Linked DNA regions of Alligator mississippiensis. The protein of the gene in region 1 interacts with the protein of each later gene in a biochemical or structural test. Links are inferred from orthologs where the notes say so. Each region holds a gene or a part of one and is shown on either strand. Other genes may lie near its edges.

Region 1 (7,940 bases):
TCACCAGCCCAAACAATAAGAACTTAATATCCCTCAAAGTGTATTTTACTTCACAGAAAAAGTCTCACAACAGCAGTTCCCAATCTGTGGTATGGGTACTACCAGTGGTACGCAGACAACCTGTCAGTGGTAGCATTAACAGATTTATTATAATGACTTTATATGACAAAAATTTGCTGGTGGTACTTTAAATTTAAATTGGTGGTATGTAATCTGTCAGTTTGGGAACCACTGAAATAGAGATAATGCTTTCTCTTCTCCACCAACCAGGAAAGGATTATTCAGTGTCAGTGTATGCATACCACAATGCCTTGTTCGAATACATTTCAATTAGAAAAAAACAAAAGCCAGTGAGATTTTGGGTCATAAGATGCATTTCCTTACAAATATTAAGGATTTGTTTTGCAAATATCTGACTACACTGAAATAATATTTTATCAGAAACTGGAGACACTTAAAAATGCTACCAAAGCTAAAAACAAATGAATGTTTTGATTTGGATTTGAGCATTTTCTCTCTCAGCAAACCCCAGACACAAACCCCAGATTTTACAGACTACTGCCAAAACCATTGTGCTACATTAACTAACTGTGAAGTATTCAAATTAACAGTGTCTCTCAGAATAATCACAGTTAATTCAAGTCAATTGTCATTTAAGTTTTGACTATAAAAGGCTAAGGGACAGTCCAGTTTGCTTTTAGCCTAAAATTTCAAACAAGTTTCCATCAAGCAAATATTCCTGGGACTGCAGATCACCACACTAAGCTGTTGTAGTTGTAAGCATTTATATAGTCAGCATCTAATGGAGTTATTCATGTTTGTTTACACATGAAACTGAAATCCTTTCTGCAAAGACTTTTATCCTGCACTTAAATTTTTTAAATATCTTATTTTTACCTGAGGTGATGCCAGTCCTTGGGCATAGGGCGGCAAGCTGTTGTTCTGATCCATGATTCCAATTACTTCTTTGGTCAGGCCAGAATTATTTCCAGTAATTCAAGAACAATAATTCCACACGATAAAGAAGTCGTTTCCCCTAAAGCATTCCAGCAACTAGATTTTCAGCCACTTCTGAATGATTATTAAAAACATTAGCTCCAGAAAAACGTGTTGCAAATCTAAAACACAATTCAAAACCTGAAAAAGATAGAAAACACTCTTGGTAACAGCACCTTTAAAAATGTATTCAGCCGCATCTTAAGTACATTTTTAAACACATTTCTTTGTACACACCTGTGCTGCCATAGAAACAACCCTTCCCCTAAAAATCTGTCCATACAAGTGGCTTTACTTACATGAACAGACCCGTAGGTTTCAGCAGGACTGCACACACAAGTGATTTCAGGACTGAACCACTGTTTATGAAGACTTCCAAATATATCAGCAAAATGTGCTTAAAATTGTTTAAAGTCTTACCATAATTACAACCTGGATATCTTTAAAGTCTTACCATAATTTTAAAGCGTTCACGAGTTCCAGGCAGTTGGAAGTCATTTAAGAGCAAAATCCTGTTACCCAAAAAATGACCAGGGAAACAACCTCCTTCCCCAGCCTGAACCAGCATAAAGCGCTGAGGCATTTCACCATGAAGATGCACAAAAAATGTTATGAAAAACTAGCAGACAGGGTTATTTGGGCAATGCACTATTCTCTCAAGTGAATTTCAATGCTAGGATGTGTTCCTTTAGCAACAATGTAAAATACTGGATTATCACTGCAATATTAATATTTTATCAATTCTTCTTACAACTTACTGTGTGATCTTTTATTAGACCAACCCAATAGTTGGAAAGATCGTTTTTTGCAAGCTTTTGGGCACAAGCACTTCTCCAGGCATGGGGAGACTCTGCTGGTGTTTGTGCACTCTCACGCTACTATAATAGTAATAATTATTATTATCGTTATCCTATTAAAAAATGCAAGTCTACGAAACCCAAATGTGCAGCAATGAGGACAAGAAGAGATGAGAGTCTGCAACAGCCGACTCCCACGAGAAAGGAGCGGTTTGCCGAACTGCCCTGCCTGCCCGCTGGTAGCACACCAGTGCGCTGCAACCAGGCCGCTCCTCTCTGAGGCCAGATGCTGGGTGCATGCAGGCTAGGGCGGCCATCATAGGGGACAGTCTGGTTGTCCTCTGTCCTCTACTGCTATGAAACCCCATGCCTTTATGTCCTCTATTTTTCTCTTCAAGAAAGAGAAGTCAGGTTCCTTGAAGAGAAAGGCATTGGGTCTCTTGAAGAGAAAAATAGAGGACATTATGGCATCAGGTTTCATATCAATAGAGGATGGAGGAACAGAAAAGCAGACTGTCCTCTATGATGGCCACCATAGTGCAAGCAGGTATGGCTTTCTACAGCAACCGCTTCGCCGGGGAGGGGGAAAACTCCCAGGTTTCTTTTCTGGCAGCAGGGAAGCCTGGAGAAAACCTGCTCACCTAGTACTATAATTATTATTTGTAATTTAATAATATTTCCTTATAAATAATTGCTTATTTAATAATAATCTATAAACAAGTGAAGCATGAGTGTGCCCACGTGGATGCGTGAGGCGCGGGTCCCGCGTGGGGTGGGGGGGCAGAACCGTTACCCTGGGCTCCCCCCCCCCGCTCCCCCAGCGGCTCCACGGGGGGACGGGGTGAGGGCCCTGCAGCGCCCGGCGGGGGGAGACGCCAACGGCCGCTTGGAACCAGCGCTCGCGCCGCAGGCGGGCGGGGAAGGGCCGCGCGGGCCCGACATCAGCAGGCTCCGCCCCCCACCGCGCGCGAAGGGGGAATAGAAGCGAGGCCGGTACCTTCCGCTCTAGGCCCTCCGCCCGCTGCCCGGACCCAGCGTCGGCTGCAGCACCGATGGTAACCCCAGCCTACACCGCCGCGCGATCAAAATGCGTCAGTTCCGCCCGTAGCAGCCTTTATTTCCCCCTCCCCTCGAATCCCGCTCGGCGGCCATCTTGAGAGAGGGCAAAGCAGCCTACTACACGGCTCCTCCCGGAGCTAGGGAACACCGCCCCCGGGGTGACATGCTTGGGAAAAAGGTCCTGCCAGCTCAGCGCATGCGCCGCACGCCGCCCTATAGCTGTGGAGGGGGGTGGTTCCCCACCTTGGGAGCAGACGAGTTGGAGGGGGAACCTAGAGCGTCTTCAAGAGCGAGGCTGGGAGGACTTCCGCTTCCGGTGCTGCCATTTTGCCGTGAGACAGCAGGCACGGCCTGGATCGGAGGCACTGCAGGATGCTGTCGTCTGCGTTCGCTGCTGGCTATGCGGAGCCCGGGCTCAGGCGGGACTGCGGCCTCGGCGCTGCCACGAGCCACCGCTTCTCCCCCTACACCTTCAACGGCGGGTGAGCCGCCCCGGCTGCCTGCCCCTCCCCCGGCCGCCCCTGCCTGTCCCCGGCCGCGTGGGGTCCCCTCCAGCGGCGGAGGCGCCGCCCCGCTTGGAAAAGAGGCGCGGGGGGGAGGTGAAGGGTTTGCCGGGCGGGGGGTTAGGATGGATGATCTACTGAAGTCCCTTCTGACCCCCAAAATCTTTGAGGTCGTAGGTTAATAACTAAGGCATCAGAAGTGGACGCCGAACCGAGCACACTGGCTAGCACCTCTGCCCCTTGAAGGGGTCGAGGGAGTCTGTGGACGCCGGTCAGTGACACTCAGTGTGGTGATGTGAACGGAAGAGCGCCAGGGAAGTGGCCCCGCACTTGCCTGTGCTTCTCCCGACCACAGCCTCCTTCCTGGTCTTACAGATGGCTAGTTTGGCCAGGAGGTCCCGGGACGTGGTGGGACTGCGGGCGGGAAGTCTGTGAAAGAAAAGGTGCAGGGAGCAGTGTAGCCAGGCCCTCAGCAGGAGGTTCTGGAGGAGGTGGAAGAGGGGCAGCGACCAGGTGCGCTTGAAGCAGGCGCCCTGTGACACAGGAGATGGGGAGAGTGGACCCGTGCTCTGACCGAAGAAATAGCAGCTCTTATGAGCAGTTCTGTCCCTTTGTGCCATATCCAGGACTCATGGCTCTTAACAGACTGGGCTGCAGCTTCCCCCTGAAACTTCCCAGAGATGTGAGCAGATGAGTGAGAGGAAACAACCTCACACCAGCCTGAGATTCCCCTGGCCAGAACCTTGACTTCCCACAGGAGGTGGTAGGAGCTGGTAGCACAGCCACTTTCAAAAAAGGGGCCTGGGTGCATTCATGGAGGATAGATCAGTTAATGGCTTTTGAATGGTATGGTAGATGTTTTCTCTGGTGTCTCTAAACCAAGAGTGGCAGATGCTAAGGAGGGTGATGAACAGGGGATTGATCACTAGGTCTGGTTTGATGCTCCCCCTTTAGTTTCCACTTCTGACACTGTTGAAGACAGGTCTATTTGCTATGCCAAGGGAAACGTTGGCCTAGGCCCATCGCAAAAACTATAAGCCTCCCTTGTTCACTAGAGGCACGGCAGCTGATTACCCAGGACACCTCAAAAGAAAATGGGCAGGACTGATGGTTACAGGTTTATAACAAGACTTCTGAAGGGAGGGCACTGAGCAGAGAACGTGGGGCTGTACTGAGCTAGATGGACCATTGGTCCAACCCAGCATGGCACTTTACGTTCTTAGCCTGATGCACCAGTAATTGACTGGTCCAGAAGCATTTTCATAGTTTGGACTGCATTTTAAGGCAGATGGTGCCAAGCAGCTTTCCTAGTTCATAAGCCCACAGTTCACATGCAGCAGCTATGACAGTTGGCTATTTGAAAAGAATATGGGGGGGGGAATGTGAGAGCATTGCTCCTTAATTACAGATTTGCCTCGTATCTGTGGGCTGTTTCATCTTGCCATTCGTAAGGCTTTCTATTATTAGGGTTGAATTACTGCCAGTTTTTAGGCTGGTTACAGTGCTCACCAAAAGCTTCTGTCACCTTGCTAGTCTGCTGAATTCCTCTGATTTCTGTAAACTTAATTATAACTGAATTTACACACACATCCCACATAGCATGTAGATGTAAATGAGCTGCAACAGTGCGCTTTTTGTTCCATTTCTTAAAAAATGAAAAAAGAAAACAAATCTTATGCCATGTAGGAAGAAATAGAACTTCCTGTAGAATGAAAGCTGCTCCATCACTGACAAATCTTTTCAAACCAGACTGAGAACCACTCATTTGGTGTGCCTTTTCCTCTCTGTTGAGTGAATGTTTATGTTAGAAATTGTAATTCTATATTGATTTACTTTTTTTTTTTTTTTTTTTTTAAAGGACCGTGTTGGCAATTGCTGGAGAAGACTTTTCTGTCGTTGCCTCAGACACACGACTGAGTGAAGGTTATGCAATTCATAGCCGGGACAGTCCCAAATGCTACAAACTGTAAGTTTTAATCTTGGGCAAAGTAAAAACTTGCTTATAAGATCTGTTCCACTGATTAACTTAGTAACCTGTAGAGGGTCAATGACTAGCATTTTCATTTGCAAAAGGACGTTTCAGTAAGAAAGCAATCTGGCTGCATTTGTACTCTCTTGTAATGCCATAATTGAGATCATATTTCTTAGTTTGACTCTAATACTTGAATTTCACTGACAAAGGATGTTTTTCAATACCAAATTAGACTTGATTTTAAAAATACAAGCTAAGTAGACAGACTATTTTTTGGATGAATACCAATGAGAAGATTCAGTTAATTGTAGCAGTGCTTAGCTCTGCAGCAAGTGGCTTTGTTTCTTCTGGATGCCTGGTAGTTGGGACACAAGTGCTACCACTGCTGGCTATACCCCAGGTATGTCACTATTTCACTGTTGCTTCAGTAGACCATCTGGCACTTCAGAGCTGTCTACTTCACTGGAGACCATCAGGGAACCTGTCAGCAATTCCATTATCAAACTTGTTTCACATTCTTCATATGCTTCCTTCAAAGCAGCTGGATAGTGTCCCCTTGGTTTCAGCAAGTTTATTGTTACTTGCATTTAAATGCCTCACTCCCACTCTAGGCTGCCACTAGCTACAGAGGCAAGCCCTCTGCTATCATTGGCACAGTTCTCAGGGGTTCAGGTTTCTCCTGGCTAGCTCCTTAGCATATCAGTAGCTTCCTCGTAGTATCAAGATAGGTTTTCTTGGCACCATCTCTTGTATTGAAATAAGTAGCTTTGGTAATACTGACAAACATGAATTAAGACAATATTTTCATCTTTAGATTGTTGAAGTTAATTGTGCTCTACAGCTGTCTAGATGACATCCTATGAATGGTATATTTCATAGTTGAGTTTGTAAATGCTTTTAGGTTTGAAGTATCTGTCTCCCTCTAATTTTTAATAATGGTTTAATATTAAAAACCTGTATCTGTATAGTTTTTTTTCTATTCCACCTCAAAGCACTGGTAAAATCTGTAAATCTGGATGTAAGGCAAATTGGTTAAATCGCATACCCATCAAATTACCTGGCAGAAGTGGGATTAGAATTTTTTTCTCCTATTTTACAATTTTTCACTTTTAACCACTCATCTGAGTGGCTTCCATTTTGGGGGTCTGCAGATTCCTACTGAACAGGCTGATGCAATGCATTAAAGGAAGCTAGGTATACAAATATTCCATGTTTTTCAAATGATTTTATGCTAGTGGTGATATGATAGTTTGTAGTCATGGGGCACGCTAAAACATTTTCCAAACTTTGCATTTTACAGAACAGACCAAACAGTCATTGGATGCAGTGGTTTTCATGGTGACTGCCTTACGCTTACGAAAATTATTGAAGCAAGATTAAAGGTAGTTACAATATTAATAATGTTTTGTATGTAAAAAAACAAAAAAAAACCCAAAAAACCCAAAAAACAAAGAACAAAAAAACCCCAAAAAAACCCAACCAAACAAAAAAAACAAACAAAAAAATTGTAAGAACCTTACTCTTAGTCAAGTGTAATAGAGCAATAATGTGACCAAATGAAGAACTTAAAATGTAACTAGTGAATTAAAAAGGGTCATAGTTTTGATTCGGGTGTTCTCCTGACATTGGTTGTGTCCAGTGTAATGCAATGCTTCCTATTTTAACTGAGTAAAATTAAAAATATTGAATATGCAAATCTTGAAGCTAGTTTTAATACCCTAACAGTACTATAACCAGGTAATGATATCTGTTCTTTCAAAACTTGTAGGACACAAATTTGGTGTCTGAACTTCTGATACATTAGGCAAGAAAAGAAATGCACCACATTTAAATTTTGACAAACTCATTTTTAGACTGATTATTTTTAGCAATCGTATGCATTCCAGTCGCAACTTCTGCTTTGTCCATCTGCTTCCTTTTTAATAAAGCACAGTATGAAAATTTCTTTCTGTAAAAATAATCTTTAGAATTCACTCTATATACACTATTGTTTTAGTATTTAACCTGCTTGTGTTTTGCATTTGATTGTAGATGTACAAGCATTCCAACAACAAGACGATGACTACTGGGGCTATTGCAGCAATGTTGTCAACAATCCTGTATTCTCGACGCTTCTTTCCTTACTATGTTTATAACATAATCGGTGGACTTGACGAAGAAGGTAAGACTTAAGTTATGGTGTGCGGGGAAGGGAGAGGGACTCATTTCTGGAGCTGAAAACTAGTTGTTTCAGGACTGAAGCAGACTGGTAGAGAAGCATAGAGACAGTTGTGGTACTTCTGTACTTACATAGAGTATGTTGCTCTTCACTTACAATATTTGAGGATCTCAGAATAGTATATAAAAAGCTATCTTAATGTATTAGTCCCTTTGGAAACTGAACATGACTGTCCATCAGTTTACCTGTTTCTATGCTTTCACAAGGCATTTGATATATCATTGTTTTTCTCTGAACAGTTTGATTATGTATTAACTCAAAGAAACTGAGAGCTGTTAGAGATCATCTGCATAAGCAGAGTTTTATATCATGTGAAACAATAACTTTGATAAAACAGGTTCTACCTTTCTGTCTTTTCATGCTTAATATTTTAAGTAGGAATGAAATATACTGCT
Region 2 (7,051 bases), on another chromosome or scaffold:
TCCTTGCCCTTGGCCCCTGTCCCGCCGTTCTTCCTCCCGCTGCCCGGCTTCCGGCCCCTGCATAGACCCACCAGGCATCAGAGTCCCTTGCCGAGCCCCCCCCACAGGTTGAATCCCAGTAGGTGCAGTCAAATTGCAGCCACCTCTGGGGTGCAGCATGGCAGGTCTCAGAATTTGGGGCAATGGAGCCCCTGGTAGCCCAGATGAACCCCCCACCCAGGGTATTGGGGCCTAAAAGGAGAGAGCCCCCCTGCAGCACCCCCTACTGCCAGGGCATTGGCACCCAGTCTCCCATCCACAAAGTGATCCCAGCTGATCCTGCTTAGCTTCCAAGGGGTGTCAGGTGCTAGATGGGGAAAGTGTCCCCGAGCAGGGGCAGTGGTGGTCTCCCATCCACACACAGACCCTCTTCAACCCTGCTTAGCTTTCCAGGGGCAACAAGGGCTGGTGGAGCTAAAGCACCCCCTCCTCATTGGCTCCACCCCCACTAGCTCCACCCCTTACACCCAGCACCCCCTTCTGGCCCTGCCCCTCCAGAGCTGGCTCCACCCCTGCAGCCCAGCCTCTCCCACTAGCCCTGCCCCCCCAGACCTGGCTCCACCCCCTCACTACCCAGCACTCCCTGCTGGCCCTGCCCTGCACTGACCCCCACCTGCGGGAGACCCGCTCGCCCTCCATGTGGTTGTCCTCAGCGTCCCCCTGCATGTCGGGCACGGAGGCCACCAGGTCCTTGAGGAAGTCAAACTGCTGCTCCAGCTCGATGCACTGCTTCCTGCAGGGGGAGGGGCAGGGGGTCAGAGGGGGCAGGGCCAAGCCACAACCCACCCCTCCCCCCAACCCATCACATCCCCAAGGTCTCCCACAGCCCCCAGCAGGATACTTCCCCCTGCCAGGGAGATTCACAGCCCCTGCCAGGCCCCTCCAGCCCATGTTGATTGAAAGTGGGGAAACTGAGGCACAGAAGCCAGGTTGGGACTGTCCAGAGGGGACACGGTGAGGCAGGGGGAGAGCTCCCAGACCCCTCCCGCCCCTTGCTCTAATCCCTCAGCACAGCCATTCTCAGCCTTTTTTGTACCAGGACCCATTTCTACACTTCAGCGGCCAGCCCCAACCCGCTCCCCCACGCCCCGGCCCCCAGTGCGTGGGGCAGAGGGCCCAAGTAGCCCCTTGCAGGCTGGAGCTCTGCCCGCCTGCAAGGGAAGAGCCGCGGTGCCCACATTTATCTCCATTAAAGGAGAATTCACTTTCAAGTTTGTTCTTTCGTATGTTCTTGCGACCCACTTCTGGGTCGTAACCCCCAGATTGAGAAACGTTGCCCTGGAACCCACCCCTCCCCGAGCTGGAGGAAACCCAGGGATGCGGGCTCCCAGCCCCCCCGCTTTCACCCCCAGCCCACTCCCCTTCCAGAGCAGGGAGAGAGCCCAGATCCCTCCCACGCCTTGTTCTAATCCCCTAGACCCCAGTCCCCTCCTGGAGCGGGCAGATCACCCAGGTGCCCAGGGGACGGGACCCGGGGCACTCACAGGTGGGACGTGGTCATGGTCTTGGCGTTCCTGGACTGCGTCACTTGACAGGCCTTCCTGAGCAGCGACTCCAGGAACAGCTCCAGTGCCCGGGCTGTGGCAAGGCAGGGGTTAAGGGAGAGACCCCAGGTGTCCGGGCTCCAGCCCCTACTGCCCTCCCCGAGTCCAAGAGAAGCCAGGCATCCGCCCGGTCCCTCAGCCCCCGCTCCCCTCCCAGACCCTGAGAGAACCCAGGCAGGCGTCCAGGCGTTGCCAAGGATACAGATGATGACGGGGACAGCAGCCGCCACCTTCCCGATCTCCTCGTCCGTCTGCATGATCTTCTTGATCCGCGCCTGGGGGTGGGAACAGGTCAAGAGCTGGGGGGGCAGCCTGAGCTAGAGCCCCCCAGGATCAGGCCCAGATCAGGGCTATTTCTCCCCTCCTCCCACTCCCCTCCCAGAGCCGACAGAGGTCCCAGACATCCACGTGCCCGGCATCCCAGCTCTCCACCTTTTCGCATGGCCGAGCTGGGGATCAAACCCAGGCAGCCGGGCTCCTAGACTCCCCTGCTCTGATCCACTGGGCCCCACGCCCCCCCAGCACCGGGGGGCTCCCAGATGCCTCTACGCTACGCCCCCCACGGACCTCCTCTCCCCGTGCCCCCACCCCAGACTCAGCTGCAATCCCCCATGCCTCCTCTGCCCCCTCCCACAGCCGGAGACAACCCAGGTGTCCCGGCTCCCACCCCTCTCCCCCCAGCCCCCCCCCAGAGCCCCAGACAACCCAGGCGTCGGGCGCTGGACCCGGCCCTAGGAAGGAGTCCAGGCTGCCGGGCCCGAGCCTCCACGAGGAACCGGGGTGTCCGGCTGCCAAACCCCCAGTGTCGGGAAGGGACCCGGGCGCCAGGCCCTGGCCCCAGAAAGGGCCCCAGGCAGCTGGGTGCCGGGAAGGGGCCCAGGCATGCGGGCCAGGCCCTCGTCTTCAAAGGAGCCCAGGGGGCCGCGTACCCGCCCGGCCCCACAGATACCCCGGGGCCAGCCCCGGAGGAGGGAAGGGCCCGGGGGAGGCTGCGAGGTCCGAGGTCACAGGCCCTGGGGCGAGGGGGGCGAGGGCGGAAGGTCGGGGTCACAGGGAAGGGGGCCAGAGGGGCGCAGGCTCCGGGGGATGGGCGGGGCGGGGCGGGGCCGGCTAGGGCGGGGTCAGGGGTCACAGGCGGTTGGGGTCAGGGTGGCCGGGGGGGGGGGACGACCCGGAAAGGAACCGAGGCGTCCGGGGGGGGGCCCAGGGAGGGGCCCAGGCGCGACCACCCGGCGCCCGAGGGGCCCCGCCGTCCGGGCTGCAGCCCCCACCCGCCAGGATGGGGAAGGGCCCCAGGCGCCGGGCCAGGCTCACCGGCGGGAACCGCGCGTTGTATTTCTTCTTCTTGCTCGGCATCGCGGCCCGCTGCGCCCCGCGCCCGCCCGGTCCTAGCGCCGCCCGCCGGCCTGGCCCCGCCCCCTACCCCGCGCCCGCCCGGTCCTAGCGCCGCCCGCCCAGCCTGGCCCCGCCCCCTGCCCCGCGCCCTAGCACCGCCCATCCCAGCCTGGCCCCGCCCCCTGCCCCGCGCCCGCCCTGTCCCAACACTGCCTTCCCGGCTCGCCCCGCACCCGGCCTGGGGACGCCCCGCCCCTACCCCCACACCGGGCTCCCCCAGCCGCCAGGGAGGGCCCCGCCCCTAGTCTCGCTGACTCCGCCCCGCGCTGTCCAGGTACCTCCCGCAACCTTCGAGCCGGGCCCCGCCCCCGGAGGCCCCGCCCTTTCATTGCAGCCCCTCCCCTCCCCCTCCTCTCCCGGAAGTCCTCCCCTCCCGAGCAGCTCCTTTCCGCCTCTGTCCAGACGTAACTTCCTGCTTCACCCTCCGTGCACCTCCGTGTCGGCTTCTGCCATTTCCGGTTTCCCCCGTCCGACCCCCCCCGTTGCCTCCCCCCGGGCTCGGCCCCGCCCCCTCCCTCAAGATGGCGGCGGCCGCGGGCCGCTGAGAGGGGCCAGGTGAGGGCGGGGGCTCGTATTAGGGGAGGGGCTGGGGGGGCCTGGCACGGGGGCGGGGCAGCGACTGGGGGAGGGGGCCTGGCACATGGGGCTGGGGGGGCTCCTATGGGGGGGGGGGCTGGGGGCGCGGGGCCGGCTGATCATGGGGCTGGGGGGCACGTCGGGGGCACCTGGTGCTGGGCAGGGCCCCGTACTGGGCGGCCTCAACCTGCCTCCTCTCTCCCCCAGGGCAGCACCAGGCAGCAGCCCCCTGCCCCGGCTCCCTTCTTCTGCCGCAGGTAAGGCGGCCCCCGTGGCAGGGGCAGAACGGGTCCCTCCACGGCTGAGTGCCCTGGGGTGGAGGCAGCTGGGGGGAGCGGGTTGATTGCCCCGGGTGGGGGGGCAGAATCAGAAGCCGTTGGGGGTGGGAGGGCTTCTCCGCAGGGCAGGGGGTAAAAGAGCCCTCACCTTCCCGCTCCCTGAGCCCCAGCCCAGCCCAGCTCTCTGGGGCTACTTGCCGGGCAGAGAGCTGCCGGGCAGAGATGACCCGAGCAGGGTGCGGGGCCCTGCCCCTGCTTCGCTCCCGTGGGCCCCGGACCCAAAGAGGCTGGTGGGGTGCAGCGAGCGGCTGGACGCAGAGCTGCTGCTCCATGGGGGCCCCGAAATCATGGGGCCCAGGGCAGTTGCCTCTGTTCACCTCCCCCTAGGGACAGCCCTGCTGCTAGCCAATTAATAGCTCGGTTAATTGGCTTGTGGATTCCCCCGACCAACGCTAAACGTACAACCGAGGAGCTAGCCCTGTGCTGTAAGTTAATTAACCAGCCCCCTTCCCAATCGCAACTGATTAGCTGCCTGCACCCTAAATTAATTAACCATCCCCCTCCAATTGGAGCTGTTTAGCCTGCCCGCTTGTACTATCCTCGGGCTAATTAAGCAGCCTTCCCCTAACGGTAGCTCCCAAAACAGTCAGGCTCTTCAGTCAGCTTAGCCCACCCGCCTGTGCTGATTAGCTGCTCCTGTGCAAAGTTGAAGAGCCCCTTGATGGAGTGAATTAGCCCCAAACCTAGGGCAATTACTGAAAATAAACCCCTTTGACCAGGTAATTAGCCTGCCTGTCCTATGTGAAGCTGATGAGCCTTTCAACCTGCCAGTTAGCCCACCTGCACCATACCTGAATTAGCTTGCCCTCCCTAATTGAAACTAATTGGCCTGCCTGCCCCCTGCTTAAGGTAATTAGTTTGGCCCCTGCCAAACAAGGGAGCCTCTTCCTCAGAATTAATTAGTCTGCCTGCCTCTTACCTAAGCTAATTAGCCTGACCAGTGCAAAGCTAGAGCCCCTTTCTCAGAGCTAATTACCTTGCCCGCTCCTCACCCTAACAAGCTTGTCACTCCAAACTAATTAGCCCACCTGCCTCCCAGCCTTCCCATAAGGCAGCTGTGACACCTGACCTTTTCCCATACCTCCCCCCTACCTTCCCCCGCATTGGCAGGTGCCTGCTCCAGGACCCAGCAGCTATGTCAGACCAGGATGAGGGCGACGGGGGCCGGGATGGCCCCTTCTCAGCTGAGCAGCTGGCGGCCGAGTCAATGGCAGCCGACATGGACCCGTGGGTGGTGTTTGATGCCCGGCGCACCCCTCGGGCCGAGTTTGAGGCATGGCTGGCCACCTACCCGCCCTCCCGTGTGGCCCGCTATGGCCCACGGCCCGTGGGCTGGATTGCCGTGTATGGTCCCGGCTACAGTCCTGAGGCGGGTGACGTGGTGGGCTTGCAGGAGGCGTGGGAGCGGCTGCAGCTGAGCGGCCGCTCCGTGACCCACACCACAGTGCGGGAGCTGGCCCTCAACCACGGCGTGCTCACGGGCAAGTGGCTCATCCACCTGGACACAGGCTTCAAGGTGGACCACGCCTGGGCTGGTGTGGCCCGGGCCGTGCTGGACGGGCGCTTCACTGTGGCCAAGGTGAGCCCCTGCCACCCTGATGGTGAACGGCGCCACGTGGTGTGTGTCTACACGGATGACTTCACAGATGAGGAGCATGTGCTAGCTGCCGACGCTGCCATCCGGGCTGCTGGCGTCAAGTGCCCGCTGGCCTACAAGCCCGATGTCTACACCTACCTGGGCATCTACCGCGACAACCGCTGGCGCCTCTGCCCTACCATCTACGAGAGCCGCTTCGACCTGGAGTGCGTGCCCCGGCGCTCCCGCGTCCTCAACAAGGTTACCAATGCCGAGGTCACTTAAGCATTGTGGGGGGGCCCGGCCCCCCCCTTTGACTGTTCACCCCCCTGTCCCTGGACTGGAGTAATGGGGTGAGGCTCTGTGTCCCAGCATGCACTGCTCCTGTGGAGGGGGTGGGGGTCTTGTCCCCTTCTGCCTATCTTGGACTATCTGCCTCCCTGGACTGGAGCTGTGGGGCTGAGGTTATTTATCCCAGCATGCACTGCTTCTGTGTGGGGTGTAGGGTCTTGCCCCTCCCTTAGATTGTCTGCCCCCCTCACCTGAAGTGGGAGTGAGGCTACATGTCACAGCATGCACTGCTTGGGGGGGGGGGGGGTTTCTGGCCCTGCCTGGACTGGAGCAGTGTGTCCCACCATGCATTGCTCCTGTGGGGTCTGATTCCCCTGAATTGGAGCTGTGCGGCTGAGGTCCTGTATCCCAGTATTACACTGCTTCCTTAGGTGAGGAGGGGCTAGTAGGCATGCCCCCATGCACAGGCTGGGCTGGGGCTGGGGTGGAGACTACAAGTCCCAGCATGCACTACTTCCCTGGCTCAGGGCCTGCTGGGAAGTGTGGTCCAGGAGCTCTGGCAGCTTAACTCTCTCATGGCCCTGTACTGGAGGGGCTCTGCCCCCCACTTCACCCCACCCACTGTTTTTAAAGTGCCACAGCTCTTTGCCCCCTAGCAGGGGCTCTTTCTCAAGGTGCTGCCCCTTTCATGCAGAGCCCTGCAGTGAGGCTGGTGCAGTGGCCCTTTAAAGCTCCAAGAGGTCACAAAGCTCAATAAAAATGACTCCTTTCCAGCCAATCAGCAGCTCTTGACTCCCTCTGGCTCCTCCTCTTCCCCCCCCCCACCCAAGGCTTTTGCAGACCCCTGGCTCTGGGGTACTAGAGGGGACATCCCAGACTAGGGCCCAAGGGATTTAGGCACCTACATGTCTCCAAGCCTGCCTCTGCCGGGTCATGGCAGCCCGAGGAGGAAGGGATCTGAGTCTCCCCTCCACCTCCTTCCAGACCCGTGTCCTGGCTCCCAGCCTCCCCTGCTCTTGCCCTACCCCAGCATCCACTCCCCTCCCAGGCCCGGGAGAGAACCCAGGCGTCCTGCCTCTACCCCCTCACCCCCGTCCCATCTCGGCCACAGGCCCTTGAAATCCCCTGCCCCAGACTGGTCCCACTAAGCAGAGACAGCCCCCTCCCCCCGGGGTCATCCCCAGTCTGGGCGCAGCAGGGAGACGCCAGCCCAGGATCCGCATTTGACTCGGGTTTATTAGCGGCATAAAAATAAGCTTTAAATCTGTCCCCCCCACCCCTGGTACGGTGGG

What was found. The genes of interacting proteins can lie anywhere in the genome.
Region 2: the proteins of TBP (region 1) and DRAP1 are reported together in a solved structure, tested with the Homo sapiens proteins (2 studies listed by BioGRID, with this or other methods). The link is inferred for Alligator mississippiensis from reciprocal best matches to the Homo sapiens genes TBP and DRAP1.

What each region holds. Positions count from the first base shown.
Region 1 is NC_081824.1:147,741,260-147,749,199, reverse strand, and holds the start of TBP (TATA-box-binding protein), read right to left. Parts: upstream 3,018-7,940; 5' UTR 2,791-3,017; intron 1,138-2,790; 5' UTR 952-1,137; coding exon 898-951; intron 1-897. Other genes in the region: PSMB1 (proteasome subunit beta type-1), read left to right, coding at 3,225-3,334, 5,214-5,321, 6,628-6,709, 7,359-7,488. UniProt on the Homo sapiens protein: The TFIID basal transcription factor complex plays a major role in the initiation of RNA polymerase II (Pol II)-dependent transcription.
Region 2 is NC_081838.1:4,274,686-4,281,736, reverse strand, and holds the start of DRAP1 (dr1-associated corepressor), read right to left. Parts: upstream 3,008-7,051; 5' UTR 2,940-3,007; coding exon 2,898-2,939; intron 1,859-2,897; coding exon 1,786-1,858; intron 1,618-1,785; coding exon 1,524-1,617; intron 773-1,523; coding exon 647-772; intron 58-646; coding exon 1-57. Other genes in the region: C15H11orf68 (UPF0696 protein C11orf68 homolog), read left to right, coding at 5,028-5,753. UniProt on the Homo sapiens protein: The association of the DR1/DRAP1 heterodimer with TBP results in a functional repression of both activated and basal transcription of class II genes.